Macaca fascicularis: one gene and its partners. The protein of the gene in region 1 purifies or fractionates together with the protein of each later gene. This does not show direct contact. Links are inferred from orthologs where the notes say so. Each region holds a gene or a part of one and is shown in the gene's direction. Other genes may lie near its edges.

Region 1 (2,789 bases):
TCCCTGCCCGAGTGACTCCGCAGGTAGCTCAGCCCTGGCGCACCTGTGCCTTCACCTATACCGGAGTCCCAGAGCCTGGGCGGATTGGCGGTTGCCTGGAGCCACAGGGCCTCCCCTGGGGTCTCGCCCTCATTCAGTGGGTGGCATTAGCCTGCCCCAGGTCCCTCAGCTTTGGGGAGGACAAGCAGCCGGGACCTGAGAGCTTTCTGTGTTGCAGTGACCAAGCAGAGGGACTCGGAGATGGGCCAGCAGAGCCTCCTCTTCCAGGTGAGATCAGGGGCTTGGGTGTGGGGGGCGGCCGAAGGCACCTGAAAGGTGGCGCTGCCACCCGGCTGTGTCCCCACAGATCGACTACCCTGAGATCGCCGAGGGCATCATGCCACGCCACCGCTTCATGTCTGCGTACGAGCAGAGGATTGAGCCTCCGGACCGGCGCTGGCAGTACCTGCTCATGGCTGCTGAGCCCTATGAGACCATCGCCTTCAAGGTAGCATGGCTGCGGGGTCCCCTGGGCCCCAGGGCCCCCTGAGATGTGCGAGCCAGAAGGATCTGCACAGGCTGGGCAGGGCGCCCCTCCTATCAGGCTGTGGGGTCCCCTGGGATCCCCGAGACGGAGCCAGAAGGGTCTGTGCAGGCTGGGCAGGGTACCCCTCCCATTGGGCTTTGCAGGAGGGGGCCTGCTTGGGCTCCACTGTGCCCATGGAGAAGGGAGGCCGGCAGGGCTGAGCGCTGGGCCTGTGAGGCCTTCGCCAAGTGACCTCGCTTCTTGGTCTAGGCTGCTGGAGGGCTTCCCACAGCCTGTGCCTACGCCTGGACAAAGCAGCCATCAGGAAACAATACAAACGGTGCCTGTCCAGGGCGGGGGCTAGCGTGTGCTAGCGTGGAGGCCGGGTCTGTGTCACTCCAGAACTGAACCCTGTGCCCATCGAAAGTCTTACCAGGCCGGGGCCTTCTCTTGGGCTCCCAGGGTGGAGTCCGGGCCGGGGAGGCTAACGCCTCAGGCTCCCTGCCTGATGGCTACCCTGAGGTCACAGGGACCAGGAGCCCTCTCTGTCCCCCGCCTTCCCAGGTGCCGAGCAGAGAGATTGACAAGGCGGAGGGCAAGTTCTGGACACACTGGAACCGGGAGACCAAGCAGGTGAGTGGCTAGCCCTGAGCTTGGCTCCTTCCTGCCCAGCCCCGGTGGCCCTAGCCCTGCCCGTGCCTGCTGAACCTTTCTCCGTCTCTCTAGTTCTTCCTCCAGTTCCACTTTAAGATGGAGAAGCCCCCGGCTCCGCCCAGCCTCCCCGCCGGCCCCCCTGGGGTGAAGCGGCCTCCACCTCCGCTGATGAATGGTCTGCCCCCTCGGCCACCGCTGCCCGAGTCTTTGCCACCGCCACCGCCGGGAGGCCTACCTCTGCCACCCATGCCCCCCACGGGGCCTGCACCCTCAGGGCCCCCGGGACCACCCCAGCTACCCCCGCCAGCTCCAGGGGTCCACCCCCCGGCCCCAGTGGTGCATCCCCCCACCTCTGGCGTCCATCCCCCAGCTCCTGGGGTCCATCCCCCAGCTCCTGGCGTCCATCCCCCAGCCCCTGGGGTCCACCCACCAACCTCTGGGGTCCACCCCCCGGCTCCCGGAGTCCACCCTCCAGCCCCCGGGGTTCACCCTCCAGCCCCCGGGGTTCACCCACCAGCCCCTGGAGTCCACCCACCAGCCCCTGGGGTTCACCCACCAGCCCCGGGGGTCCATCCTCCCCCATCAGCGGGGGTTCACCCCCAGGCCCCAGGGGTACACCCAGCAGCCCCTGCTGTTCACCCTCAGGCCCCGGGGGTGCACCCACCAGCCCCAGGGATGCACTCTCAGGCCCCGGGAGTCCACCCCCAACCTCCCGGGGTCCATCCATCAGCTCCTGGGGTCCACCCTCAGCCTCCTGGAGTTCACCCCTCAAATCCTGGGGTACACCCCCCAACTCCCATGCCCCCAATGCTGAGGCCCCCACTCCCCTCCGAAGGCCCAGGGAACATACCTCCCCCTCCCCCAACCAACTGAGAAGCTGCTCCCTCCCCCAGCAAGCTCAGCGCCAGGTGCTCCTGCCTTTTGCCATCGAGAGAAGGCTGCTCTTTTGTACCGCCCCCTGCTCATTAAACAGCCTTCCCCAGCCCCGAGTGCACTGATGTCTGCAGCGCCGCCCTCCCTTGTCAGTGCTGTGTGGGAGTGCCAGGCACAGCACCATCCCTGAGTTTGCGCCGACTGGGGAGGGCCTGGGGCCTGCCGGGAGACACCTGTGGGAGGCCTGAGAGACAGCTGTACCTTGGAGGTGGCCTGGTGGAGGACAGACTCCACCAGCCAGCTAGGAGGGGGTCTGGGGTCCTGTCCTGGGGAGGGAAGAGCAGACTCTTGTGATATCCTTGGGGTCTCCAGATAGCCTACCAGGGGTTGGGAGGGTGAGCAGGGACAGGGCGCCCCCACTGACTTGGGACCCTCCTCCTCCAGGCCCACCCCTTAGCACCCAGGACATCTGGGCCCCCCGCCCCCAGCGCTGTCTAGTCTGGCTGCTTGGCCATCACTCCCAGCCTGGTTCCCACTCCTGTGCCTTCTGGGGACGGGCCCTCAAGGACAGCATGTTGACAAATCAGGCCCAGCTCTATCGCTGTGGGGAGGGAGATAGGCTGCTGGCGACAGAAAGGGCTCTTTGAGAAGGCCACTCTGCCTGGAGTGGGGGCGCTGGGCACTGTCCCCCAAGGTCGCGGCAGAGGAGATAGGGGCCTGTCCTTTACAAACACCCCACCTTCCACTCGGCTTCCAC
Region 2 (4,108 bases), about 14 Mb from region 1:
GGGCCCAGACCACGCAGGGCTCACGCCTGTCCCTTCCCTTGCAGCCGCCAGAGCAGCCGCCCTACCCGCACCACCAGGGCGGCCCACCCCACTGCCCCCCCTGGAACAACAGCCACGAAGGCATGTGGGGCGAGCAGCGTGGTGACCCTGGCTGGAACGGCCAGCGCGACGCGCCCTGGAACAACCAGCCTGACCCGGCCTGGAACAGCCAGTTCGAGGGCCCCTGGAACAGCCAGCACGAGCAGCCGCCCTGGGGCGGGGGCCAGCGCGAGCCGCCCTTCCGCATGCAGCGGCCCCCACACTTCCGGGGGCCCTTCCCGCCCCACCAGCAGCACCCGCAGTTCAACCAGCCTCCACACCCCCACAACTTCAACCGCTTCCCGCCCCGCTTCATGCAGGACGACTTCCCGCCACGGCACCCCTTCGAGCGGCCGCCCTATCCCCACCGCTTCGACTACCCCCAGGGGGACTTCCCTGCCGGTGAGTGTGCGGGCGCCCGGGTAGGGCCTGGCGGAGGCACCCACGGCTGGCCTGCCGAGCAGGCTGGTAGCACTGCTTGTGGTCCTGGTATGCTCCCGAGTGCACAGTGACACAGGCACAGGGTCATGGAACGTCCGAAGAGCCCGGCCCGGGTTCTCAGGAAGTGGGGACACAGACTGTGCCTTGCCGCCCTGATTAGGCCAGGCTGGCTGCAGAGATGCAACTCCGTCCCCTCCTCCCAGCCGCCCCAGGAGCTGTGTGCACTGTCTGCAGATGAGGCAGATCCAGTAGGAAAAGCTTTCCGCTGTGGGTGGCCGTGGCTAGTGCAGGGCGGGGCCTCATTCTTTTTACTGCTGCTGCTTGCTTTTTGCATCAGTTTTCCCATTTGTGTGTTTATTTACTTTTTTTTTTTTTTTTTTTTTGAGACGGAGTCTGGCTCTGTCGCCGGGCTGGAGTGCAGTGGCCGGATCTCAGCTCACTGCAAGCTCCACCTTCCGGGTTCACGCCATTCTCCTGCCTCAGCCTCCGGAGTAGCTGGGACTACAGGCGCCCGCCACCTCGCTCGGCTAGTTTTTTGTATTTTTTAGTAGAGACGGGGTTTCACCGTGTTCGCCAGGATGGTCTCGATCTCCTGACCTCGTGATCCGCCCGTCTCGGCCTCCCAAAGTGCTGGGATTACAGGCTTGAGCCACCGCGCCCGGCCTATTTTATTTACTTTTGAGACGGAGTCTCGCTCTGTTGCCTAGGCTGGAGTGCAGTGGCAGAGGCTCACTGCAAGCTCCGCCTCCCGGGTTCACACCATTCTCCTGCCTCAGCCTCCTGAGTAGGTGGGACTACAGACGCCCGCCACCACGCCTGGCTAATTTTATTTTGTGTTTTTAGTAGAGACGGGGTTTCACCGTGTTAGCCGAGATGGTCTCAATCTCGTGACCTCATGATCTACCCGTCTCGACCTCCCAAAGTGTTGGGATTACAGGCGTGAGCCACCGTGCCCCGCCCCATTTTCCCGTTTTATTAGGTCGTTTTAAAAATCAACACTCGGAGTGGTATCGGGTACCTGTGGTCCTAGCTGTTCAGAGAAGGCTGAGGTTGCAGTGAGCTATGCTCGCACCACTGTACTCCACCCTGGGCAACAGACCCTGTCTCAAAAAAAAAAAAAAAGTTTTCTTTTTAAAGAATTTTTTTTTTTTTTTTTTTTTTTTTTTTTTTTTAGACGGAGTCTCGCTCTATCGCCCAGGCTGGAGTGCAGTGGCGCGATCTCCGCTCACTGCAAGCTCCGCCTCCCGGGTTCACGCCATTCTCCTGCCTCAGCCTCCCGAGCAGCTGGGACTACAGGCGCCCGCCACCTCGCCCGGCTAGTTTTTTTTTTTAGTGGAGACGGGGTTTCACCGTGTTAGCCAGGATGGTCTCGATCTCCTGACCTCGTGATCCGCCCGTCTCGGCCTCCCAAAGTGCTGGGATTACAGGCTTGAGCCACCGCGCCCGGCCTTAAAAAATTTTTTATCTTTTAGTTTAAATAGAGATGGGGTCTTGCTATGTTGGCCAGGCTACTCTCAGTCATCCCACCTCAGCCTCTGGAGTGGCTGGGTCCACAGATGTGAGGCACCATGCCCAGTATCTTTTTCATTCAATTTATTTCTTTTTTTTTTTTTTTTTTTTTTTTTTTTTGAGACAGAGTCTGGCTCTGCCGCCCAGGCTGGAGTGCAATGGCCGGATCTCAGCTCACTGCAAGCTCCGCCTCCCGGGTTCACGCCATTCTCCTGCCTCAGCCTCCCGAGTAGCTGGAACTACAGGCGCCTGCCACCTCGCCCGGCTAATGTTTTGTATTTTTAGTAGAGACGGGGTTTCACCGTGTTAGCCAGGATGGTCTCGATCTCCTGACCTCGTGATCCGCCCGTCTCGGCCTCCCAAAGTGCTGGGATTACAGGCTTGAGCCACCGCGCCCGGCTCATTCAATTTATTTCTAATCTTTTAGTGCTTCCTTTTTTTTTTTTTTTTTCCTTTTTCTTTTTCTTTGAGACAGAGCGTCACCCTGTTGCCCATGCTGGAGTGCAGTGGTGGAATCTCAGCTCATTGCAACCTCTGCCTCCCAGGTTCAAGTGATTCTCCTGCCTCAGCCTCCCGAGTAGCTGGGATTACAGGCACCCACCACCACACCTGGCTAATTTTTTGTACCTTTAGTAGAGACAGGGTTTCACCATGTTGGCCTGGCTGGTCTCGAACTCCTGACCTCAGGTGATCCTCCCACCTCAGCCTCCCAAGGTGCTGGGGTTACAAGTGTGAGCCACCACACTTGGCCTTTTGTTGTTGTTGTTTGTTTTTTTGAGACTGAGTCTCACTCTGTCACCCAGGCTGGAGTGCAGTGGCACAGTCTTGGCTCACTGCAGCCTCCTTTCAGGTTCAAGTGATTCTCCCACCTCAGCCTCCTCAGTAGCTGGGATTACAGGCACCAGCGACTATGCCCAGCTAATATTTGTATTTTTAGTAGACGGGGTTTCGCCATGTTGGCCAGGCTGGTCTCAAACTCTGGGCCTCAAGTGATCCACCCGCCTTGGCCTCCCAAAGTGCTGGGATTACAGGCGTGAGCCACCGTGCCCAGCATTGTATGTTTAAAGACATTCCTGATTATAAATGCAGTTTGGAGACCGCTAGGCACATTTATTGCTTTTACTTTTTGGCTTGGGCTGACATGATAAAGTCCCACAGCCTGGATGGCTTAAACAGCTGGAATGTATTTGTCTTAAGGATCTCGGGGCTGGAGGTCTGAGGTGAAGGTGTGGCAGATTCGGGTTAGTGTCTTGGAGGCCTGTCTCCTTGGCTCATAGGTGACCGTCTTCTCTCTACATGTTTGTGTCCTAATCTCTCTTTATAAGGGCACCCGTCACATTGGATTAGGGCCACCATGGCTTCATTTTAACTCATTTGTGTCTTTAAAGGCCCTGTCTCCAAATACAGTTCCGTCCTGAGCTAAGCTATGGGGGCTGGGACTTCGGCGTATGGATTCGGAGGGTCACAACTTAGCCCTCACGTTGCAGTTTGGGGGTTTTGTGGTTCTCTTCCCTCAGCCTCAAGCTCTCTCGGCTGTGCCTATGGGTGCGGGACAGGCCCCTCAGAGCCTGGCTCCTCCCTGCCTGGCTGCCTGGTCTAGAGCAGTGAGAGAAGGTGCTGGGCAGGCTCCCGGGAGGGCTGGCCTCCTGGCCCCTCACTGAGGCCCTCCCCTCCAGCACTTGTCACCTAGGACATCCTGACTGGCCTGTGGACCTGAGACAAGTCTCTGTTTTGCAGAAATGGGCCCCCCTCACCACCACCCTGGCCATCGCATGCCTCATCCTGGTATCAACGAGCACCCGCCCTGGGCTGGACCCCAGCACCCCGACTTCGGCCCTCCCCCCCACGGCTTCAACGGGCAGCCCCCACACATGCGGCGACAGGGCCCGCCCCACATCAACCACGATGACCCCAGCCTGGTCCCCAACGTGCCCTATTTCGATCTCCCTGCCGGGCTGATGGCCCCCCTCGTGAAGGTAACGCCCCGCGGTGGGCTCCAAGCTGAGCATGCTCACCACGCTGGCCCCCATTTCTCCTGGTGAAAAGTGAACACACAGGATTGGGTGCCTCCTGGGGCGCC
Region 3 (4,606 bases), on another chromosome or scaffold:
ATAATTCTATAAATTCACGACAGTGTTTTAAAAGGAGCAAATTCGAGGCAATTTACCTCAATCATTACCATGTTGTTATGAGTCTGGGCCTATAAATTAATGTCTCCAGGATGATTAAGTATGTAAAAAGTTAATAGGTCCAACCAGACAATTAATATTTTCCATAGATATTAGTCTTGCTTAGGTTTCTATGGTTTTATTGTCATTTCAAATCATTGTTTTCTATAGTTATTATTCATAGGTGAGTATATTATTTAGTTCCTCAAGTATATATTTTTTAATTATAGTATTTTCTTGCAAGGAAATACCATCACCGGCCACTTTTACAGAAAATCAGTTCTTAGGACAAACTCACAGTCAAATTCAGGGATGTTTTATCTTCAAGCAAAAACATGACCTTAAGGCCGGGCGCGGGGTCCCATGCCTGTAATTCCTGCACTTTGGGAGGCCGAGAGGGGCAGATCACCTGAGGTCAGGAGTTTAAGACCAGCCTGGCCAACATGGTGAAACCCCGTCTCTACTAAAAATACAAAAATTAGCCGGGCGTGGTGGCGGGCGCCTGTAATCCCAGCTACTCCGGAGGCTGAGGCAGGAGACTCGCTTGAACCCAGGAGGAGGAGGTTGCAGTGAGCCAAGATTGCGCCATGGCCCTCCAGCCTGGGCGACAAGAACAAAACTCCCTCTCAAACAAACAAAAAACCATGACCTTAATGTTTTTAATGAATTTCCAAGTGACGTTGATTTACACTGCTATTCTTTTGCTAGATTGTTTCCCCCTCTCAAAGTGTATGCAGTACGCTGTCAGGACAGATCAGTGAAACTGAAACAGGGCCAGTAAAATGTTTTGTCTATTTAAGTTTGCAAATGCCCAAGTCCATCCATTTTTCTTTTTACATAGAAAAATAATTAGGTAGGGTTGATCAAAACCGGAGATTTTACCAGGGTAGGAAGCAAAAATACCAATACTTGGCACAAGGATATGTATAAATAAAAATGGCTAAAGTCTCCAATTGTGTCTTTCTTCTACCAGCTTTGAAAAGCTGTACCCTGGCATTGTTGAAGCCACAATAATCAGCAGACAACTAGGAAATGTCCAAGAGCTATGTAGCGTTGAGAAGTTAAAAAAAAAAAAATCTATTAGCAGAAAATGAATATGGGTTTTTCTTATATCTACATGTCAAAATTTTCCAAATTAAAACAGCCATTCCTCAACATTCACTCAGCAAGTGTTTACTGAACTGTTTAAGCGAAATTGTTTTCAGGTGTTAAGCCTACAAGTGTCCAAGTGCTTCTCGCCAGGATTGGAACCAGGAGACAGAAAGCAAGCAGGCGACCTCCAAAGAGATCAAGGCAGCGGAAGCGCCTTAGATAGAGCCCACGGGAGTTTGCTCTCCAGAGAGCTTAGGCTCTCTGAATAAAAAGCATTAAACTCCGGGGAATACAGCATGAACAACCAGGGCCCCAGCCAAGACATTGAAGGCTGAAGGTAAGGCAGAAAACATAATTCGAAGACTTCTTCAGAGGAGCGAGTGAAATCCTCCAGTCAGGCGCTTCCAGGTGTCTCCCCTCTACAGCCTCGAGCCTCCGCCCTAGGGGCGGTCCTGAGGAGGGAGACCCGCCTCTTGATCCCAGAGGGCCGGGGGAGACTAGCGCGCGTGCGCAGAGCTTGCATCACATCCGCCGCCTGGCCTCCCAATTCCGGAAGGTGCAGCACAGTTGTGGCGGCGGGTACTGCGTTAGTGATTAGGGTTTCTTCTCTGCCGGAGGTGGGATACGCGGTAGCATCATGGTCGAGGTAAAGTGACACTGGGACTCTCAAGAGTCGTTTGTCTCTGGACTGTTTTTCTTTGGCAGTGGGCTTGGGGGATTGAGAGTGCTTGGAGTCCGGAGAGAAAAGAGGCTACGAGGGAAGCTGTTTGGCCAAGGCCGGGTGGTCTCTTCATCGGGTTTTCGGGGAAGGGGTAGAAGCCGGATGAGAACCCGAGTCGGAGGTTCAGTCCGGGCGCTAAGCCTGAGATAATTCGTCCAGTCCTCGTTTGACTCTTGGGAGCTGGAAACTGTCCTTGGAGGCGGGGCCTCTGTTGGTGTTCGACCACTGGTACTCGCCGCCCTCGGGGCAGTGTCAGTGATTCTGTGCCCGAAAAGATTGGCGGTCTTCTCTATCTTGCGTTCAAGTCGTCTCTTATTTCAACTCTACTCCCAGAAAAACTTGCCATTCTTTACATCTTTCCCTGGCATGAACAGCCAGCCATTCTGTTAGCTGGTCTTGTCCATGTTACCCCACATGTTTATTGATTCCATTCACTTTTCTCCGTATCCACTGCAGTCCACCTTAATTGAGACCAACATCATCTTTCACCGGGCCTGGTGCATTAGCCCCCCGTTGATTTCCTTGCTTCCATTTTGTTCCATAAGTTGTTCTGTTTAAAATGTAAGTTGTTCATACCTTTCTTGTTTAAAACCCTTTACTGACTGTGTTGCTAGAAGAAAACATAGGCTGTTGTAATAGTCTAAAATACCTTACCTAATCTGGACCTTGTCTACCCTTGCAACCACAAAGCACCATCTCATCCACCATATACAGCTGTGCCGCCCTTCTTGTATTATTTCAGTTAACTGAACATTTTTTTACATGACATTTCCATCAGCCTGGTTCGTTTTTATCTCTGTTTTGTGCAAGGCTAACTCCCTTTCTGCTTAAATATCACTTTAGTGAAGTCTTTCACAATTATACTTAGTCCTTCGTTTCCCGACCCAGTGCCTTGCTTGTTGCCCTCATAGCACTTATCAAAATGTGGAATTATTTTACTTTTTATTTGTCTGTTTCCTCTTGAGCACAGGGACCATGACTACCTTTTATCATTCTATTGTGAGATTCTAGCACGATACCTGCCAGACACACAGTAGGAGCTCAGTAAATATTTATTGAGTAAATGACTAAACTATGGCATCACTCAGTTGCTATACCTGAGGTTCTAGCCAAAGAGGAGCTTCCTCCTCTTCTCTGAACTTGACTCCTGTAGCTCGCAACAAGTAGCTATGGTGAGTGGTATAAAGCTTTTTACATATTTAAACATGTGAAGTGTATAATCAATCTGACGTTAGGTTATGATTTGTGTAATTTGTAGATAGGTGTGTAATTACTTTTTTTTTTTTTTTTTTTTTTAAGGAGGTACAGAAACATTCTGTACACACACTTGTGTTCAGGTCATTGAAGAGGACCCATGACATGTTTGTAGCTGATAATGGAAAACCTGTGCCTTTAGATGAAGAGAGGTTGGTATAGTTTTTTTTTCAATTGCTGAAATATTTAACATTCTAATACTGGGGGAAGAGAGCAGGAAGAGGGAGACCTTTAAAGATAAACTGGCAATACTCATGGGCTAATTCAATAATGAGTGGTGTTTTGGCATAATTTAAGCTGATTTAACTTTTTTTTTTTTTGGCCTTTTACAGTAAAAGTTCCATTAATTAATTGCATTTTACAAATACCCAGTAATTAAGAGAGTCCCTTTTAGGTATTTTATTTTATAATCAATCACTTTGTATGTGCTTTCAGCTTCCCGCTGCTCTCAGAGCCTTGCTGAGCTGAAATTGTACCTGGCCAGTACCTCTACTCCCATCTTTTCTCGTTAGTATGATGAAGATTTTTGAGTGGTGGCATATTTTTGGTTCTACATATCCAGCTCCAGTCTGGGATTGCATTATGTGCAGTGTTCCTTCTTTGTCCTTTACCCTTTTAAAATCGACTTAACTCCTCAAACAAGCATTTATATTTAATTTGTAAAGTAGACTATTTTTAAAAGTAATATAAGTGCATTTCTTTTTAAAATATTGAACCAATTAAGTACTTTTCTTAGTTCTAACTAACCTGTTTGGATACATCTAGTAAAGGTTGCTGTAGAGTTTTTACTATATTTATATTTTGAAGGAAAGCGTATTGACTTTGAGGTTTCTTAAAGGGTATGTTAGTTTCTATATATCTTTCAAGCAGACCCTTGATAATTTATCATAAAATATTTTCTATTAGGTAACAAACTAAAATATTACTTAGGTTTAATGAATGCTGTGTGGTGGAATGTGAGCAAAAGAACAGATATGGTGGGGAAATGCACTTGGAAATTTTTGATTCTTTTAAATACTACTTAAAATCTTACTAGAAACTTTTCCTACATGATTGGGCAAACTTAAGCTGTCTAAGTGTTTGTTTTAAAGTATTTATGGATACGTTCTTATGTTTATAATTTCTAAATAGTCACAAACGGAAGATGGCAATCAAGCTTCGTAATGAGTATGGTCCTGTGTTGCATATGCCTACTTTGAAAGAAAATCTTAAAGAGAAGGGTCCTCAGAATGCAACGGATTCATATGTTCATAAACAGTACCCTGCCAATCAAGGTGAGTATGGTATTATCAGAAATGTCAGACGTATGTGTGAATTTTAAAAATAGAAAAATAAAATGTGTTATTTTTGCCCCTGCTGGCAGGACTTAGGTGTGGTCATACAGTATTTAATGGCTGTACCAGTATTATAATGGAAGTTTTTATCCTCGTGGGAATACTGAGACATTGGTTGATGACTTTTTTCTTATAGGAAATAAAAATG
Region 4 (4,108 bases), on another chromosome or scaffold:
AAATATTGTAATAAACTTGTAATCTTTTTACCAACTGTAATTCTTTATTTATTTTTCATGATTTATGAGTCTGAGATCTTGTATGTCTGGATTTGAGGTTTGAGAATTAGAAACGTCCAAATGACAGTTCATTTTAGTATTGTTGTGTTCCTTCATAAAGGTTGAGGATATGATTCAGGAAAGCTGAAATTGTTAGCATATTCTTGATAGGAATTGATGCAGATAGCATCTACAAATTTTCAGCGTCTAGTTGTTTCATCTTTTTACCTTAATAAATGTGATTTTAAAGTGTTGCAGGTAAAAATTAATGGTTTTATTCCTATTTATAGATTTTTGATGAAATTGAGTCATGAAACTGTAACCATTGAATTGAAGAACGGAACACAGGTCCATGGAACAATCACAGGTACGGAGGTTGGACTACTTTTATAACATTTTTTTCTTCTCTTTTACCTGCTATCCAGAGTTTATTTTTTGATTGCTTAATGAACGTTATTGTAGTACAGATTCTTATTCTTTTGTCTGAATTATGTAATTGATTGATTGATTGATTTTTTTATTTATTTATTTTTTTTTGAGACGGAGTCTCGCTCTGTCGCCCAGGCTGGAGTGCAGTGGCGCGATCTTGGCTCACTGCAAGCTCCGCCTCCCGGGTTCACGCCATTCTCCTGCCTCAGCCTCCTGAGTAGCTGGGACTACAGGCGCCCACAACCGCGCCCGGCTAATTTTTTGTATTTTTAGTAGAGACGGGGTTTCACCGTGGTCTCGATCTCCTGACCTTGTGATCCGCCCGCCTCGGCCTCCCAAAGTGCTGGGATTACAGGCGTGAGCCACCGCGCCCGGCCTATTTTTTTTTTTAAACAGAGTTTTGCTGTGTCACCTGGGCTTGAGTGCAGTGTCATGATCTCGGCTCACTGTAACCTCCGCTGCCTGGGGTCAAGCAATTCTTTTGTCTCAGCCTCCCGAGTGGCTGGGACTACAGGTGCCTGCCAGCATGCCTGGGTACATTTTTTTTTTTTTTGAGACGGATTCTCACTCTGTTGCCCAGGCTGGAGTGCAGTGGCACAGTCTCAGCTCACTGCAACCTCCGCCTCCAGGGTCTGATTAATTTTGGTAGAGATGGGGTTTTGGTCTCGAACTTGTGACCTCATGATCCATCCGCCTCGGCCTCCCAGAGTGCTGGGATTTCAGGCGTGAGTCAAGTCACTGCACTGGCCTAATTTTTGTATTTTTAGTAGAGACGAGGTTTCAGCATGTCAGCCAGGCTGATCTTGAACTGGACCGGGCTGGTCAGAAGACCTCAGTTGATCCGCCCGCCTCGGCCTCCCAAAGTGCTGGGATTACAGGCGTGAGCCACCAAACCTGGCCTAAGTAGGTCTTTAGTTATCCCATTAGTTCAGGTATAATTTGGTAAAGGCTTCAGTATTCAGGTGTTTCAGCTATAATGTCATATAATCACCCTAAAAAATTGCTTTGTATTTTGTAAACTCTCATACTAAAAATAGTAGCTTAATGAGAAGAATAGGTGTTGCAGACTACTTAAAAGCCTGTGTAACTTTGTAATCAAAATATTCTTAACAAAAGTGGTAACAATTATTACATATAGAGAGAAGCAGAAACAAAGGTGAGGATAGTTTAGTGGAATGGGGATTATGAGAAAGTCACAAAGACAGTGAGAGAAACATTCAAGAAATACCTGTCAGATCAGTAGTGAGCCTGAAGCCCAGTCAGGGTTCTTCCATTGCTTGCTGCATTCATTTCTGTAAGCAAAACTTAGTGTGCTAGGAAAAATCTCTAGGAAGGAAACACTGCTGATTTATACTGACGTTATTCCCCCATTTACCAGTTGCATATGTGCTAAATTATGTCATAGAAAACTTGCACTGTAGCAGAACAGTATTCTTTTGTAGTCCAGTATTTACTGTGGCTCAGTAGATTAATTAGTTGCCTGACTTTTATCATACTAATAACTGCCCAATTATTTTCTTTTTAGGTGTGGATGTCAGCATGAATACACATCTTAAAGCTGTGAAAATGACCCTGAAGAACAGAGAACCTGTACAGCTGGAAACGCTGAGTATTCGAGGAAATAACATTCGGTATTTTATTCTACCAGACAGTTTACCTCTGGATACACTACTTGTGGATGTTGAACCTAAGGTGAAATCTAAGAAAAGGGAAGCTGGTAAGTTTGAAGGATTATAAAAATTTTTGTGAATGCTAATCCTAATCCACACTATTCATAATATAAATATTTGCAAACAACACAAGTGTCTTTGTTTTTTAATATTTCTTATAATGTGTATTATAACTCCTGGTGTTGCTATTAAAAACATTGATGCGGCTGGACACAGTGGCTCACGCCTGTAATCCTAGCACTTTGGGAGGCCGAGGCGGGCAGATCATCTGAGGCCAGGAGTTCCAGACCAGCCTGGTCAACATGGAGAAATCCCATCTCTACTAAAAATGCAAAAAAAAAATTGGGCGTGGTGGCGCATGCCTTTAGTCCCAGTTACTTGGGAGGCTGAGGCAGAAGAATCACTTGAACCCGGGAGGCGGAGGTTGCTGTGAGCCAAGATCATGCCACTGCACTCCGGCCTGGGCTACAGAGTGAGACTCTGTTTCAAAATAATAATAATAATATGGTTGTAATCCATAGCTTGTAAAACAATGATTTAACCTCTCATGCTGTGTATCATGCTGCTTTCCACTTTGCAAGAACCCCCTGTGGGTACCAAAATCTACAGATGCTCAAGTCCCTTTTCATAAAATGGTAATAGTGTTTCCATCTAACCTCTGCACATCCTTTTGTACACTTGTAATACCCAGTATAATGTAAATGCTTTGTAGATAGTTATATTGTATTGTTTAGGCGTTAATGACAAGAAAAAGTCTGACAACCATCATAGGCCTAAAGTTGGTTAAATCCATGGATGTGGAACCCATGGATATTGAAGGCTGACTGTATTTTCAAATCTGAGGACTTTTTGCCTTAATGTCTTTAGGGTTATTCTACTTTTACTACCTACCTACCTGTGAGGGAATTGATGATTGAAAGCCCCCTGCCTCGTATCATCTTACTCCACGCTGAGAAGTTATTCTTCCTTTACTAAATGTTACAGTTCCAAGTCTATTTTCTGATTTAAAATTTTGTTGAAAAAAATTTTTTTGTTTTCTTTTTTTTTTTTTTTTTTAGATGGAGTTTCACTCTTGTTACCCAAGCTGGAGTGCAGTGGCGCGATTTCAGCTCACTGCAACCTCCGCCTCCTGGGTTCTAACGATTCTTCTGTTTCAGCCTCCCAAGTAGCTGGGATTATAGGTGTGTGCCACCGCACCCAGCTAATTTTGTATTTTTAGTAGAGACGGGGTTTCATCGTGTTGATCAGGCTGGCCTCATACCCCTGACCTCAAGTGATTTACCTACCTCAGCCTTCCAGAGTGCTGGGATTACAGGCATGAGCCACCACGCCCAGCCGAAATCTTTTATCTACTATGTTTTCTCTGCTTTTCTTTGTTCTTCTGGGTACTTACCGTTTTTGTTCCTTTTCTATCATAAATACTATTTCAGAAGAAATTGGAGATAAGTGTGGTCAATTTGGTTCATTTTAACATGCGTCCTAGACTTACTGTTTTTGTGTGTACACATTTAAAATAATATAGTTTAAAATAACTGAAATTGGCTGGGCGCGGTGGCCCATGCCGTGAGCTGAGATCGTGCCATTGCACTCCAGCCTGTGCAACAAGAGTGAAACTCTGTCTCAAAAAAATAAATAAAATTATTTATGCCTGCCCCCCACCCACTCCCCACTTCTTAAAAAGTTGTTTTCTTAATTTATCTTTCTTTTATACAGATATGCACCACCAAATCTGGCTAATTTTTTAATTTTTTTGTAGAGACAGGGTCTCCCTGTGTTGTCCAGGCTAGTCTTGAACTCTTGGTCTCAAACAATCCTGCTGTGGCCTCTCAAAGTGCTGGGATTACAGGTGTGAGCCACCATCATACCTGGTCCATTTTCTTTTCTTTTTATTTCTTTTTTTTTTTTGAGACAGAGTCATGCTCTGTCGCCCAGGCCTCACTACAACCTCTGCCTCCCGGATTCAAGTAATT
Region 5 (4,108 bases), on another chromosome or scaffold:
ACCTGGATCTCAGAATGCAGTGCCCTCCCTCCTGCAGAGACCTTTCTATGCCAGGCTCTGAGGCTTGGATTTCATGCAGTGGAATCCATCTCTTTTATGCAATTCACTTTGTTTTCGTTAACATATCTTACTTGTTAGATTCATTTGGAGTTAAAACAGCAGATCATTACAGTTTTTTAACTCAGAGGTTTAGAGGCTGTTATATTCATGACCCTCCACAAGGTGGCAATGCCTTCCTTGATTAGATTTTTTTCTTCCCTTTCCATTTCAGTGCAGTTGGGTTTGCGTGTCATTGTATTGCCAAAACACCCTCGCCCACTGTTCCTTAGAATTTGGGGATTGGGATTGGACTTCTGAATATCATCTAGGTCATTTTCCCATTCTCTGGATTGGACCATACCTAAACTATCCCAAGCAGATATTCTCATTTATAGTACTTTTTAAAACTTGTTGGATTTTATTTATCTTTTAAAGAAGATAATTTCTAAGATGTTATGAAATGCCTGTTACGTGAAAACAACGGACAAACAATAAACCCCAATTGAAACCAGTCACTGGGAGTGGGGCTCAAGGCATCTGGATGGTCTTAAAGCTTCCTGCTGACTTTCATGTAACTAGGGTTGAAGCCACCGCTCCAGTGCATGGCCCCTAACCTCGGAGACCTTTGTGGGCTGTGAGGCTGATGAGATAGGTCAGGGTCTAGACAGGTGCACACAAGGTGCTGCGGGAGTCAAAAGATGGCCTGATTGTATCTCCTTGGAACATACAGAAGCTCTTTCCAGCAAGAATATTCATTCAATGAGATTTTAAAGGGTAAATAACATTTCAGTAAAGTATAAAAAGGACGTTTGAGGAGATAGAAATAGCAAAAGCAAAGCTGGAATCAGGAAAATAGTGACTTTCCTCTGGTTTTAAAAAAAAGTCATATAAAGGCTGTAAAATTGATTTGGTGTTTTTCTCCTTGTGGTAAACCAAAAAGTAGGTTAAATTTGTTCGAGATAAATAATTGATACAAGTGAGGTTTCAGAGGGTTTTCTATAGTATTTTGGTGAGACTACTTTATATTTCTCCAATAGTACCCCGAGATTTTCCTTATGAAGAGGACTCAAGACCTCGATCACAGTCTTCCAAAGCTGCCATTCCTCCCCCAGTGTACGAGGAACAAGACAGACCGAGATCTCCAACTGGGCCTAGCAACTCCTTCCTCGCTAACATGGGGTAATGATTTAATGTTCTTATCTAAGGACTTGAGAGACAGTGTGAAGCATTGATAGCCCTTTCAACAGATGCCGCTTGTTTGAAACTGAGGACATTCAGGCTGTGGGGAGACTCTTGGTGTGTGCAGGTCACACGGTGCCTGCCTCAATCATGTGGAGCGTATTCCAGTGTAATGATGGGGCTCGTTCAAAACAGCAACCTTCCAGTAGAAGTTTTGACTCATTTTGATGTTGAACATTATTTTTCTAGACAGGTACAGAACCTGATAACTGTTTACATTTGTTTTCATGACATTTGCAAATAAAATAGCTCATATGAATCAGAGTTGACTTACTATCTGCAAAGGACAGGTGATACTTTTTTCCCTGATAAAGTGGGCCATTTGCTTTAAGGTCATGGTTCTCAGGGTCATTCTAACTACAAGTAGACATTTGCTTGCCAGCATATAAAAGTTGACTGTAAGGTTGACACTCAGGTGGGGCTTGAGGATTTTTTTTTTTTTTTTTGAGACGGAGTCTTGCTCTGCCGCCCAGGCTGGAGTGCAGTGGCCGGATCTCAGCTCACTGCAAGCTCCGCCTCCCGGGTTCACGCCATTCTCCTGCCTCAGCCTCCCGAGTAGCTGGGACTACAGGCGCCCGCCACCTCGCCCGGCTAGTTTTTTGTATATTTTAGTAGAGACGGGGTTTCACCATGTTAGCCAGGATGGTCTCGATCTCCTGACCTCGTGATCCGCCCGTCTCGGCCTCCCAAAGTGCTGGGATTACAGGCTTGAGCCACCGCGCCCGGCCGAGGATTTTTTTAAACTGTACTGGGCTTGGCAAACATTTTGGTTAAGAGGATATTCTATGGTGTTGATTTTGATCCTGTGAAACGGCTGTCCCATGAAGTGGCATCACACGAACGCTTTGTTCTGTGCTGTGTTGCATCTGCCGGCTGCTGCCTGTAGCGGAAATGCAGCCGGTGAGACAGCCAGTGGAGTTGAAACTCACTAGTCTTTCAAGTGCTCAGTGACCACATGCAAGTGGTGACCATGTTGGATGGTGCAGACATAGGACATGGCTGTGGCTGCAGGAAGCTTTGTGTGCTGGAGGGTTGGACAGACATGAAGCTGGTTATGTTTTGTTTTCCCTGTTTATGATAGAAATTGACTTTTTACTGAATTTGCTTTTAACCAGGAATTACATCTTTAACTTGTGCTTAGGAAAGATGCAAGGTGGTACCATTCAGCAGTTTTTGGTCTTTTTAGCCCTAGAATAGCTTGTTCAAATGAACATGTTAAGGGAATTAAATACAAGAAGTAATGTAGGTGCAGTTCCAGTTGAAGCAGAGTTTTGTGGCTTAAGCCCTAAGCAGCAGTGGTCATGGGGTGGGGGTGCCCTTCAGCCCCATACCACACCTCACAGCACAGTGTGAGAGCCATTTGGTTATTACAGAAAGCAGTGGACTGAGAGTTGTAGGGTCCAGTTTCAGCTCTACCATTAACAGCTGTACAGATAATTTATTTGTTTTTTGAGATGGAGTCTCACTCTGTTGCCCAGGCTGTAGTGCAGTGGTGCAATCTCAGCTTACTGCAGCCTCTGCCTCCCGAGTTCAAGCAATTCTCTGCCTCAGCCTGCCAAGTAGCTAGGACTACAGGTGCACACCACCATGCCTGGCTAATTTTTACATTTTTAATAGAGGTGAGGTTTCACCGTGTTGGCCAGGCTGGTCTTGAACTCCTGACCTCAGGTGATCCACCCACCTCGGCCTCCCAGTGCTGGGATTACAAGCGTGAGCAACTGCACCCGGCCTGTACAAATAATTTCTAATGTGGCGTCTTGCTTTACTTCTAAGTCCACCCCTTAAGCTAGTCAACTAATCTTAGCCTCCGTTTATTTCTCATTTGTTAAATAGGTGATCTCTAAGGGTTCTTTCATTTACATAGTCTGTCATTGGAAACTCTCCTGTGCCATTCAGGAAATGGGATCATCTTCATTATATGAAACTTCATACTTACTTTTTGATAGCCACTTTTTAATAAACTGTGGTTACAAGCTATGTGGCAGTGCAGGTCCAGAGCACACAAAAGGTCTTGTGTTTCCTAGCAGGGCACTGAGGAGACTCCACCAGAGAAACTGGCATTTCTCCTCCAAGACAACAGAATATTCTGGATTTTAGTCATAGCCTTTTCTGTTTCTCTCATGCTGCACATCCCCATAGCTTCCATCTGATAGCCCACTCCTAGTTAATGAGTGACTTTGTTGAAACCCCTGTGGAGCATGCACTCTCTCCAGAAGGAGGTGGTTATGATGGAAAAATGCAACCTGTCTCCAGTTGACGATGTCCAAGCTAAGAGTCCTTTCCCTTCTCCTCCTGCCAGGGGCACGGTGGCGCACAAGATCATGCAGAAGTACGGCTTCCGGGAGGGCCAGGGTCTGGGGAAGCACGAGCAGGGGCTGAGCACCGCCTTGTCAGTGGAGAAGACCAGCAAGCGTGGCGGCAAGATCATCGTGGGTGACGCCACAGAGAAAGGTATGTCCCCAGGGAAGCGTGTGGCTAGGGGGAAAGGACTGGCCCCGTCCGTATCAGACGTGGCCAGTCTTGATCCTGATATGCCAGCAGGGGGACGATGACGAGTGTGGCCAGAGGGAGAGGGCTGGCCCCGCCGTCACTAGAACAAAGGCCATCCTGATCATATGATGCACTGCCACTTCTGTTTTGTGAAGCCAGGAATCCTGAGGCTCATCTTTATTTTTTCAGAACAGAGGTAGAGAGATGAAGGCTCGTGGAGGAAAAGATGGTGAGAGACTTGGGCAGAAAATGAATAGTTCTCAGGAAGAAATCTTGGTTATGTGTTTAGAGCATGAAGGACAGAGCCATATAGTGTGGCAGTGAATATACCTGCCATCTC
Region 6 (4,560 bases), on another chromosome or scaffold:
AAAATATTCGTACTGCATTCTGACAAACAGAAATCATCGCACCCTGGTTCAGAAAGTTCTGTGAGGGCAGGCTGACATAAACAAGAACTCAGTGGTGGTAGGGCCCATGCTTCTGCCACAGCACTTCGGTGACACTCTAAGAACCAGAACTTCCACCTACTTTCTACCAGTTTTATCACCTATCAAATGAGAAAAATCATCTCATTCCTATGATTACATGAATCAAATAATATTATGAAGAATTAAAAAACAGTCCTCAAATCTTGTGCAAACGTGAGAGACTATTATTATTATTTACTACGTAGGGGCCCAGAAGACCACCTCCCCCCCTCGGGCATTCCATGTTCCGCAGGGTCCTCAAAAGGTGGTACAGGGTCCTAGTTTCTTCTCCAGACTCCAGGCCTGGCAACCGTAGATGCTGTCATGTCTCTGTTGCTAAGAGATGGGAAGTGAGGCCTCAGGAACTGGGCCTAGAAGGCTCAACAACGACCGCGCCCCCTAGTCACCTTGTCCTCACCTTGAGGAATGGAAAGACACCCCACGGGAGCAGGGAATGCTGTCCTCAAAAAGAAGAAAGAGGTGCCTCCGCTCTTCACCCGGCCGCCGCTGCTTGGGCCCACGCTTCTTGCGAGGCGGGGACAGGGCCAGGAAAGCTGACTGTGCCGGGGACGCCTTGACCTAGGGCACCAGAGGAGCGGACACGGGTGCCGGGCCCACAACCGGAACAGGTACACGAGAAGTTGGCCCTAGGTCGGGCCCGCCTCGCCCTGCCTCGCCCATAGCCGCCGGCACAGTAGGAGGCACCCCGCCCCCGTGAACCCAGAGGTCCCTGAGCTCGCTCACCTGCAGCCGAGTCACCAGTAGGCTGTAGGGCGCCATTTTGTGCACTGACAAAGATGAGGTCGCATGCAAGTGACGTCCCAAACGGCGCCTTTTAAAGCCTTTGGGCAGGGGCGTGCCCGGAAGAGTGGGGCGTCACGGTGAAGGCGAGGCCTCCCTAGGGGCACCAGAACCCTGGGAACGCAATGAGCGGAGCTCAAGAGTAATGAACAGACACGCAAGAGGAAATAGAACTGCCTAAAGACACTTGCAGAAGTAGATACCAAGCACAAATATGTTTTATCCAAGAACAAATTTTAGTTATCTCTGCCATCCAAATCTGGGAGTGTTTTTAAGACTTTCATGCACCTGCCAGGACCTGGCCACACAGCAGCGACAGAAACTCGCGCGAGAGCAAGAGGGGCCTGGTGCAAGGATCGTAAACTGACGGAAGCTTAGAGGACCAATCACAGCGACGTGGAGGCAGGAACAATGGGAAATAAAGGTCGGACGGAAGTTCCGGAAGCTTCCGGTGGCCGGCTTAATTGGGAGCTATGGCTAAACATCATCCTGATTTGATCTTTTGCCGCAAGCAGGCTGGTGTTGGTGAGACTGCGCCCTGCCCCTGTCTGTCTGGGTAGGGGTGGTATTAGGAGCTGGGGGGTCGGGGGTTCCCATCACTTCCTTAGTGGCTTGCCCAGCTGGCGCCACGTTTCCCGCCTCTCGGGCGCGGGGTGTTGTAGGAACGCACAGGTTTGTGGCCGCTGATGAGAAGAGGGCGGGGGTGCGCGTGCTGGGAGCCCCAGGCAGGTATCGGGGGTGGGGTCTGGGCCAGGTCCACAGAAACTCAGAGCTTGCCCCAGGACGTTGGAGGAGATTCAGAAGGGTGGTTGGGCTGTGGGTTTGGTTCATTTGGAAATTTGTAATGATAAAATGGCTATCCGCAGGTATCACTGCAGTCCGTACTCATGTCCCTACCCCCAGCTCGAGGATGTACTTCCCGTTTGTCAAAACCTTTATTCTAATTGTACTTTTTAACCATCTTTCATCTTGCAGCCATCGGAAGACTGTGTGAAAAATGTGAGTGGAACCTTCCGTCCCAACAGCCCACCCTTCCCACTCCCAGTTTCTGTGGAACCAGCAAAAGTGCCACAAAGAGGGCTTTGAGTAGATGTGCCTGGAAGTATGTGAACACTGAATGCTGGACTTCAACCAAAGGCCCCTCTGTCTCCCCACTGCCACTTGCACATTTAACGCTGTATCTCTCTAGTTTTCAACAGGAAAAATTGCCAGAGTAGCATGACCCCTCCCTAATACACAGCACTTTGCCGGCAATTATATAGGCTTATCATCTCTGAGGTGATTTTCTAGGCTCTTTACATATGTTAATTGATAAACTTTTGTATATGTTGAGGGACTTGAGATGGATACTGGGTAAACCAAGTTTCGTGATGCCAAGAGGAGGGTCCTAAAGTCACTGTCAAAAGGAGACTAGTGTATTTCCCCATGGCAGGAGATAGCAGAGGACTGAAGAACTTGTTGTGAGTATGACTCCATTCTCTTCCTTACAGGTGATGGCAAGTGTGTGATTTGTGACTCCTATGTGCGTCCCTGCACTCTGGTGCGCATATGTGATGAGTGTAACTATGGATCTTACCAGGGACGCTGTGTGATCTGTGGAGGCCCTGGGGTCTCTGATGCGTATTATTGTAAGGAGTGCACCATCCAGGAGAAGGATGTAAGTGTACAGCTTTCCATCTGACCTTTCCTGCTTTTGTTTCCTGCTTTTTTGCCATCCACTGCAATCTCCTATGGTCTATGGAGATTACTGTGTTCATCTAGTCATCTAGGTTATAATTTTTTCAAGTTCTGTGAGTCAAACTGGGTGTAGTTCAATAAAAGGCAGTTATTTTGCATCAAGGGGAAAAATGCAAGGGAAGCAAATCTTTGTCAAGACCAGCAATTTGAAGAGCCCTCTCTCTATTCATGTTTCTCTGTGATTATTTTTATTCAGAAATGACATCCGGCTGGGCGTGGTGGCTCACACCTGTAATCTCAGCACTTTGGGAGTCCAAGTTAATGAGGATCACTTTAGTCCAGGAGTTCAAGACTAGCCTGGGTCACAGAGCAAGATCCCATCTCAAAAACAACAACAAAAAACAATTTGGTTTTTTGGTTTTGTTTTGTTTTTTTGTTTTCCTTTTTTTTGAGACAGGGTCTCTTGCTCTGTGGCCCAGGCTGGGGTGCAGTGGCATGATCACGTGCAAGGCTCACTGCAGCCTTGACTCCCCCGGGCTCAAACGATCCTCCCACCTCATCCTCCCAAGTAGCTGGGACTGCAGGCATGCGCCACCACACCTGGCTAATTTTTTTTTTGTAGAGACAGGGTCTTGTCTTGTTGCCTAGGTTGGTCTCAAACTCCTGGGCTCAAGTGATCCTCCTGCCTTAGCCTCACCAGGTGCTGGGATTACAGGCATGAACCATCACTCCTGGCCAGAAAAACATATTTTTCATTAGTCGGGTGTGCTGGTGTGTACCTGTGGTCCCAGCTACTTGGGAAACTGAGGCGGGTGGAGGATCACTTGGGCCCAGGAGGTCAAGGCTACAGTGAGCCATTTTCATGCCACTGCACTCCAGCCTGGGTGACAGAGACCCTGTCTGTTTATAAGGCCTGTACAGCCCATGTTGTGTCATAGCCACTCATTAACGTCTCAGATCTATCATTAAGCACTATTCGGGTGTATATCGTGACAAAGTTGAATTTGGGACGATTCAAGTTGACTTCAGCTTTAAGCAGTTAACAAGTACCTTTGGTTTAATATTGCAGAAGTGATTGTGGCCCTGCATCATGACTTTTTTTTTGTCCCTTGACACTGCGTAGTGGCAGTGGTTACTTACTATTCAACTCTCTGAGCCAAATGCCAGGAGAGAGAGCTTATAGACCAGTGCTACAGGCAAGGTTTACCCCATTTCTTTCGTTTAGTATTGGCAGCAGGGTTTTTGTGGGGGAAAACTATGAATCAGCATGTTTTCTTCAAAAAACAAAACAAAAGGAAGTATGATACAGTCTCACTAGGTTAATGATAGTACCCAGTTATCTAATTTATTTATTTATTTGTTTTTTATTTTTTGAGACGGAGTTCACTCTTGTTGCCCAGGCTGGAGTGCAGTGGCACAATCTCGGCTCACCGCAACCTCCGCCTCCTGGGTTCAAGCAATTCTCCTGCCTCAGCCTCCCGGGTAGCTGGGATTACAGGCATGCGCCACCACGCCCAGCCCATTTTGTATTTTTAGTAGAGACGGGGTTTCTCCATGTTGGTCAGGCTGGCCTCAACTCCCAACCTCAAGTGATCCGCCCACCTTGCGTCTCCCAAAGTGCTGGGATTACAGGCCTAAGCCACTGCGCCTGGCCCAGTTACCTAATTTAATTCTAATTTAGAGTAAGGCAAAAGATACATAATTCTTCATATTTCCATGAGCAAAGAATAGGTCTTTTATAGATGTTATCACACCTTGTTCCTCACAATAAGTTTGAGAAATAGGGATGATTATTATGATACCCATTTTATAGTTCCTCTGACAAGCCCAGGCTATTCAACGAAACCTTGTAGTGTCCCCATTTCACCATGTTGTACTTTTATTTATATATTTATTTTATTTTATTTTATTTTTTGAGACAGAGTTTCGTTCTTGTTGCCCAGGCTGGAGTGCAGTGGCGCCATCTCGGCTCACCACAACCTC
Region 7 (4,858 bases), on another chromosome or scaffold:
CTGAGGCTGCTTGCCTGGGCCCCACTTGAAGAACCCTGTTGAGGGTAGCACGGCTGGTCACAGGGCACTTCTTCTTTTAAACTGACATTGTTTTCCAAAGAGGCTGTGATCAACAGAGTTTACTGTTCATGAAACTCAGATCGCAGCCAGGCACGTGTCGGTCACAGCCGGTGCCGGCTGCTCCTTTGCATGGATGGTAATGTCCATGCAGGTTTATGTTTGTCAACTGGCCGTTGCTGGGTGGGACTGTCTTACCGACACATAAAGCCTACAGAAGGCGCCAACTCGCGTTACAGGGCTGCTCCTGACACGACCAAAATCACCAGGGTGGAATTCACACTCCTCTTACATAACCATAACAAGTTGCTGGGATCACAGGCATGTACCACCATGTCCTGTTAATTTTTTTGTAGAGGCAGGGGTCTTGCTTTGTTGCCCAGGCTGGCCTCAAACTCCTGGAGGAGGTGGTACTCCAAGCTTGGCCTCCCAAAGTGCTAGGATTACAGGCGTGAGCCACAGGGCCACGTCTGTGGTACGTCTTCCAAGGACAGGAATCCTATCAGATCAGGATCCCACCCTTATAATCTCATTTAACCTTAATTCTCTAAAGGCCCTTTCTGCAAACACAGTCACATTGGGGATTACGGCTTCACATACAAATGTTAGGGGGACAGAACTCGGTCCATAGCATGGAGTCGCACAGTATTTGTCCTTTTGTGATTGGCTTGCTTTACTTAATATGTTTCCAAGGTTCACCCACGTTGTGGCACGGGTCTGAACTTCACTCTTCTGGATGGCTGACTCACATTCCACTGCATGGACAGGCCGCATTTTGTCTGTTCATCAGTTCCTCCACATCTCGCTCCCTTGTTTCCACCCTGGGGATATGGAGGAAGATGGGGTGGGCGAAGTCCTGTGACCCCCAGGACCAGCCACATCGTTGGCAGGGGACAGTGCAGGATGAAACCGTGGGCCCCTGGTCTTGGGCCGGGCCCTCCGTCTCTAGAGCAGCTCGCACCGCTGCAGCCCCTGGACGTCCCAGGCTGTGGACGCGCCCGGGGGACGCCGCGATGAGCAGGACACGGGACAGGTCCCCTTGCTGGCGCTGCTCGCGTTGAACCGCGCGGGGAGCTGGGCAGCCCATGGGAGAGGTAAGAATTGTTAGGCTTTTAATCTAAAGTCGATACCTGAAAAAATAATTCCGGAGCTAAGCATTTAATATCAACATTCAATAAAGCAGGAGATATCAGCCCGACGAAAACCGCTTTAAGTTTTCCGCGTTGAACTCGATCATCCCCCAGGGATGAAGAACCCACCAGCCGAGCCAGAGCCCCGTCACGTGACCCGGCGGCCACGGGGAGCCCTGTGCGCAGGCGCTGAGCCGGACTCCCGCTCCCGAGGAGCGAACTCCCTGTGGCGCCTGCGCTGTAGCGGGGGCTCAGCGGGCGCGCGCGCGTCCGGGCGCGCGCCGCGGGGGCGGAGCCGCGCGGAGGCCGGAAGGAAACTGGAGGGGGCGGGGCGAGGGAGGGAAGCCCGCCGGCCGTAGGACGACCGTCGCGGCCTGATGACGTCGCACAATGGCCGGCCCCCGCGGGTAGTGGAGCCCGTTTGTTCCGCCCGCGTCGAGCCTGGAGCCAGAGCCTGTGAGGAACGGAAGGGCCAAGGGACGTCTTCTCCACGCCGCTCCGACTCCAGCAGCGCCGTGGCCCCCTCTCCGTCCTAGCGCTGAGGTTAGCGGGGGCCGGGCGGGCGGCGGGAGGCCGGGCCGGCGGCGGCGGGAGGAGGAGGCCGCCGAGGCGGCGGCGGCGGCGGGAGTGAGGCCCGGGACCCTGGCGCGCCTCCGGCCGTGCGGACCCGCCGACCGAAGACTGGCCCTTGGGCCAAGGGAGGGGGACCTTGAGACAGGCACCACCCCGCGTTCCGTCCGTAAGCGGCCCCGCGGTCCTGGGGCGCCCTCAGCGCCTGAGCTCCTCGCGCGCTGCCTCCGCGCCCCGCGGCGGAGTTTATTTTCCTGAAGCTGTCATTTCTCTTCCGGGCCACTCGCGTGGCACATGTGTGCCGCCCGCTAAGGGGCGGTGAGAGGCGCCCAGGTTAACCTCCGGAATAGGTCAGCCCTTGCTGTTTCTGGGCTCTTCGGAGAACTTTGAGCTCTTCATGAGCCTCCTGGAACTTGCGCCGCAGCTTCAGAGTGTGCACAGGTTGGACGTGGTGATTGCCCCAAGACGCGCGCCGGTCTCTTAGGAGTATGTAACTTCCTTGCCCCTTGGATCAGGAGATCAGAGGTGCTGGGTCCTTTATATAAACTAACTGCAGATATAATGCTGGAAGAACCGAAACTTACAGCCTTGCTCCTGCCAAAAATTAAGTTTTCCTGACTACTTTGTGACAGCTGAGTTTGCCGGTTAGAGTGGCCGTTTTAAATGAGCTTTGTTCCGCTAACTCATTTGCAAGGGTAGGTCATTCTTCAGACCCGTTTGGGAAAATGGAAGAAGAGAGTGTTTGGCATCTGCAGTACCGTTTGGGGTGTAGCAAGGCGCTCGTCATTTCTCCTGAGACTCACTTCCAGCTTGTTGTCTGTAGAGTGGTCCTTTCCCGTTCAGTTGTTGAGATTCTCCTGGTGAGCCTTGACCTCGGCTGAATCCCGCTTCCCAGCCTTGGGAGGAGAGTCTTTGCCTGATAATTTTACTATCTAAGGGCAGTATGGAACCCAGCCAGCCCTGGAACCGGTCAAATGTGTCCCAAAGCCGGAAACTCCTCTCCCATTTTAGGTGGGACATGCTGAAATGTTGTAAGAAAGCTTTGTGGAGTCACTCCAGAAAGCAAACAGGTAAGTTAACCTGTGGCCTAGATCGTGTTTCAAGAGATTTGTATTTTGTCACGGCTACAGAGCATCTCAAGGTGAGTACCTCCTTATCAAGCAGTTTAGTGGTCAAGCTTGGTCAGTTTGCGAGTGGGGTCTGTCACCAACCTTGATAACTTTCATTTAGATATTGTAAGCCCGTGAGGTTATGAGTCAGAATTTTAACCAGATGTTCCAGAACTCAGGCATTCAAATAGGGACTGCTCTGTTGAAAATAACTGTCCCAAAATGTTGTGCTTGTATTTCATTGGTGCTTCTTTGCCAAAACCTCTTTAGAACTCCTGTTTTGGTAGTAAAAATGTAGTCATATGGGAAAATCAGTTTTATTCAGTAGTCACCCTCCAGGTTTGACCAAAAGTTGTCTTATGTGGTTGGTAACTTACCTTATCAGGTGAGACTCTGACTTGCAGCACTTATCAGAGACTAGCTTGAGAGGAGGAAGATTTGCCACCACGGAGAACACCAGAAGACTTCTTCAGGCTTGGAAGGTCATTCGAAATGAGAAGGTTCCCAAATGCTCTGCATTTCAGCAGTGCCATTGGAGTCTGTGCATCCTCCCAGAGGGACTGCTTGGAAGGGAGGTAGCACCTAGTCTTTATTATTACTATTATTTTTTGAGACGGAGTCTCACTCTGTTGCCCAGGCTGGAGTGCAGTGGCACGATCTTGGCTCACTGCAACCTCCTCCTCCTGGGCACTTATTTTCAATTCCTTTCTGGTAGGCAACAGGTAGTTCCTCAAGTAATGAGATTTTTGTCATGTATCAACAAATATTTATCAAGTATCATCTGCCAAATGCAGAAAGCAACAGAGTTGGGATGACGGGTACTTGTTACTTCATTCCTTAGGCAAGCTTACCCATCTGATGAATCGGAGGGCTAAGGATTTAGTTCTAAATCATGCTGAGAATCTTCAGTTATAGAGTGATAGTGTACGAAGACCAAACTGAGCACGAATTGCAAACATAGGTGTCAGTTGAGACTTGTCTGCTGACACCCGTGTCTACGCTTTTCATTTCATTGTCTACACTTACGAGGCTACGTTTCTTTTCCTGGCACCTTATTATTATTTTTTGAAATGGAGTGTCACTCTGTTGCCCAGGCTGGAGTGCAGTGGCACGATCTGGGCTCACTGTAACCTCCTCCTCCTGGGTTTGAGTGATTCTCTTGCCTCAGCCTCCTGAGTAGCTGGGACTACAGGCACGTGCCACCATGCCCAGCTAATTTTTGTATTTTTAGTAGAGACGGGGTTTCACTGTGTTTTGGCCAAGTTGGTCTCGAACTTCCGACCTCGTGATCCACCCGCCTCAGCCTCCCAAAGTGCTGGGATTACAGGCATGAGCCACCACACCCAGCCAATTGTGTGATTTTTTAAAACTAGTTTGAGGGGACGTTTAGTTTTGCATAAAAGTCAGTTTATTTAAGAGATCACTTTGTTTGCAAGGTTGACATTAGACTATAAAACATGAGAATCAGAATTTGTCACATTTCAGGTCTGGGTTCAGCTTGGGACATCCTGCTGGGTACCAGGTGCTCCACTTCGGCAGCTGGGGAGATGTAAACTACCTGCCCTTCTATGAGGAAGATGTTTATACATTGTCATAAAAATTGTACAAGGAGGCCGGGCGCGGTGGCTCAAGCCTGTAATCCCAGCACTTTGGGAGGCCGAGACCATCCTGCCTAACACGGTGAAAGCCCGTCTCTACTAAAAAATACAAAAAACTAGCCAGGCGAGGTGGCGGGCGCCTGTAGTCCCAGCTACTCGGGAGGCTGAGGCAGGAGAATGGCGTAAACCCGGGAGGTGGAACTTGTAGTGAGCTGAGATCCAGCCACTGCACTCCAGCCTGGGCAACAGAGCGAGACTCTGTCTCAAAAAAAAAAAATTGTACAAAGATAGTATAGGATGTTACTAATGTCATTAGCTAGGCAAGAGAGAGAATTGCCAGTTTGCCACTGGTGACTTACTGCTACAACCCCACATGCACTCTGATTCTTGAACA

The links.
Region 2: the proteins of SF3A2 (region 1) and CHERP purify together in Homo sapiens (affinity purification with mass spectrometry; 3 studies listed by BioGRID, with this or other methods). This does not show direct contact. The link is inferred for Macaca fascicularis from reciprocal best matches to the Homo sapiens genes SF3A2 and CHERP.
Region 3: the proteins of SF3A2 (region 1) and PLRG1 purify together in Homo sapiens (affinity purification with mass spectrometry; 3 studies listed by BioGRID and IntAct, with this or other methods). This does not show direct contact. The link is inferred for Macaca fascicularis from reciprocal best matches to the Homo sapiens genes SF3A2 and PLRG1.
Region 4: the proteins of SF3A2 (region 1) and SNRPD1 purify together in Homo sapiens (affinity purification with mass spectrometry; 4 studies listed by BioGRID and IntAct, with this or other methods). This does not show direct contact. The link is inferred for Macaca fascicularis from reciprocal best matches to the Homo sapiens genes SF3A2 and SNRPD1.
Region 5: the proteins of SF3A2 (region 1) and RBM17 purify together in Homo sapiens (affinity purification with mass spectrometry; 4 studies listed by BioGRID and IntAct, counting the BioPlex papers as one, with this or other methods). This does not show direct contact. The link is inferred for Macaca fascicularis from reciprocal best matches to the Homo sapiens genes SF3A2 and RBM17.
Region 6: the proteins of SF3A2 (region 1) and PHF5A purify together in Homo sapiens (affinity purification with mass spectrometry; 5 studies listed by BioGRID and IntAct, with this or other methods). This does not show direct contact. The link is inferred for Macaca fascicularis from reciprocal best matches to the Homo sapiens genes SF3A2 and PHF5A.
Region 7: the proteins of SF3A2 (region 1) and ZC3H18 purify together in Homo sapiens (affinity purification with mass spectrometry; 3 studies listed by BioGRID and IntAct, with this or other methods). This does not show direct contact. The link is inferred for Macaca fascicularis from reciprocal best matches to the Homo sapiens genes SF3A2 and ZC3H18.

Annotation. Positions count from the first base shown.
Region 1 is NC_088393.1:2,906,048-2,908,836, forward strand, and holds the end of SF3A2 (splicing factor 3A subunit 2), read left to right. Parts: intron 1-217; coding exon 218-267; intron 268-346; coding exon 347-487; intron 488-1,069; coding exon 1,070-1,138; intron 1,139-1,231; coding exon 1,232-2,032; 3' UTR 2,033-2,143; downstream 2,144-2,789. UniProt on the Homo sapiens protein: Component of the 17S U2 SnRNP complex of the spliceosome, a large ribonucleoprotein complex that removes introns from transcribed pre-mRNAs.
Region 2 is NC_088393.1:16,859,564-16,863,671, reverse strand, and holds part of CHERP (calcium homeostasis endoplasmic reticulum protein), read left to right. Parts: intron 1-44; coding exon 45-480; intron 481-3,765; coding exon 3,766-4,004; intron 4,005-4,108. UniProt on the Homo sapiens protein: Involved in calcium homeostasis, growth and proliferation.
Region 3 is NC_088379.1:159,465,645-159,470,250, reverse strand, and holds the start of PLRG1 (pleiotropic regulator 1), read left to right. Parts: upstream 1-1,700; 5' UTR 1,701-1,786; coding exon 1,787-1,795; intron 1,796-3,169; coding exon 3,170-3,276; intron 3,277-3,559; exon of another isoform or gene 3,560-3,631; intron 3,632-4,255; coding exon 4,256-4,398; intron 4,399-4,606. UniProt on the Homo sapiens protein: Involved in pre-mRNA splicing as component of the spliceosome. Component of the PRP19-CDC5L complex that forms an integral part of the spliceosome and is required for activating pre-mRNA splicing.
Region 4 is NC_088392.1:68,136,124-68,140,231, reverse strand, and holds part of SNRPD1 (small nuclear ribonucleoprotein Sm D1), read left to right. Parts: intron 1-329; coding exon 330-406; intron 407-1,993; coding exon 1,994-2,185; intron 2,186-4,108. UniProt on the Homo sapiens protein: Plays a role in pre-mRNA splicing as a core component of the spliceosomal U1, U2, U4 and U5 small nuclear ribonucleoproteins (snRNPs), the building blocks of the spliceosome.
Region 5 is NC_088383.1:7,058,633-7,062,740, forward strand, and holds part of RBM17 (splicing factor 45), read left to right. Parts: intron 1-1,076; coding exon 1,077-1,218; intron 1,219-3,577; coding exon 3,578-3,729; intron 3,730-4,108. UniProt on the Homo sapiens protein: Splice factor that binds to the single-stranded 3'AG at the exon/intron border and promotes its utilization in the second catalytic step. Involved in the regulation of alternative splicing and the utilization of cryptic splice sites.
Region 6 is NC_088384.1:10,143,463-10,148,022, forward strand, and holds the start of PHF5A (PHD finger-like domain-containing protein 5A), read left to right. Parts: upstream 1-1,344; 5' UTR 1,345-1,373; coding exon 1,374-1,425; intron 1,426-1,875; coding exon 1,876-1,899; intron 1,900-2,390; coding exon 2,391-2,557; intron 2,558-4,560. Other genes in the region: ACO2 (aconitate hydratase, mitochondrial), read right to left, coding at 844-879.
Region 7 is NC_088394.1:84,469,281-84,474,138, forward strand, and holds the start of ZC3H18 (zinc finger CCCH domain-containing protein 18), read left to right. Parts: upstream 1-1,566; 5' UTR 1,567-1,730; intron 1,731-4,858.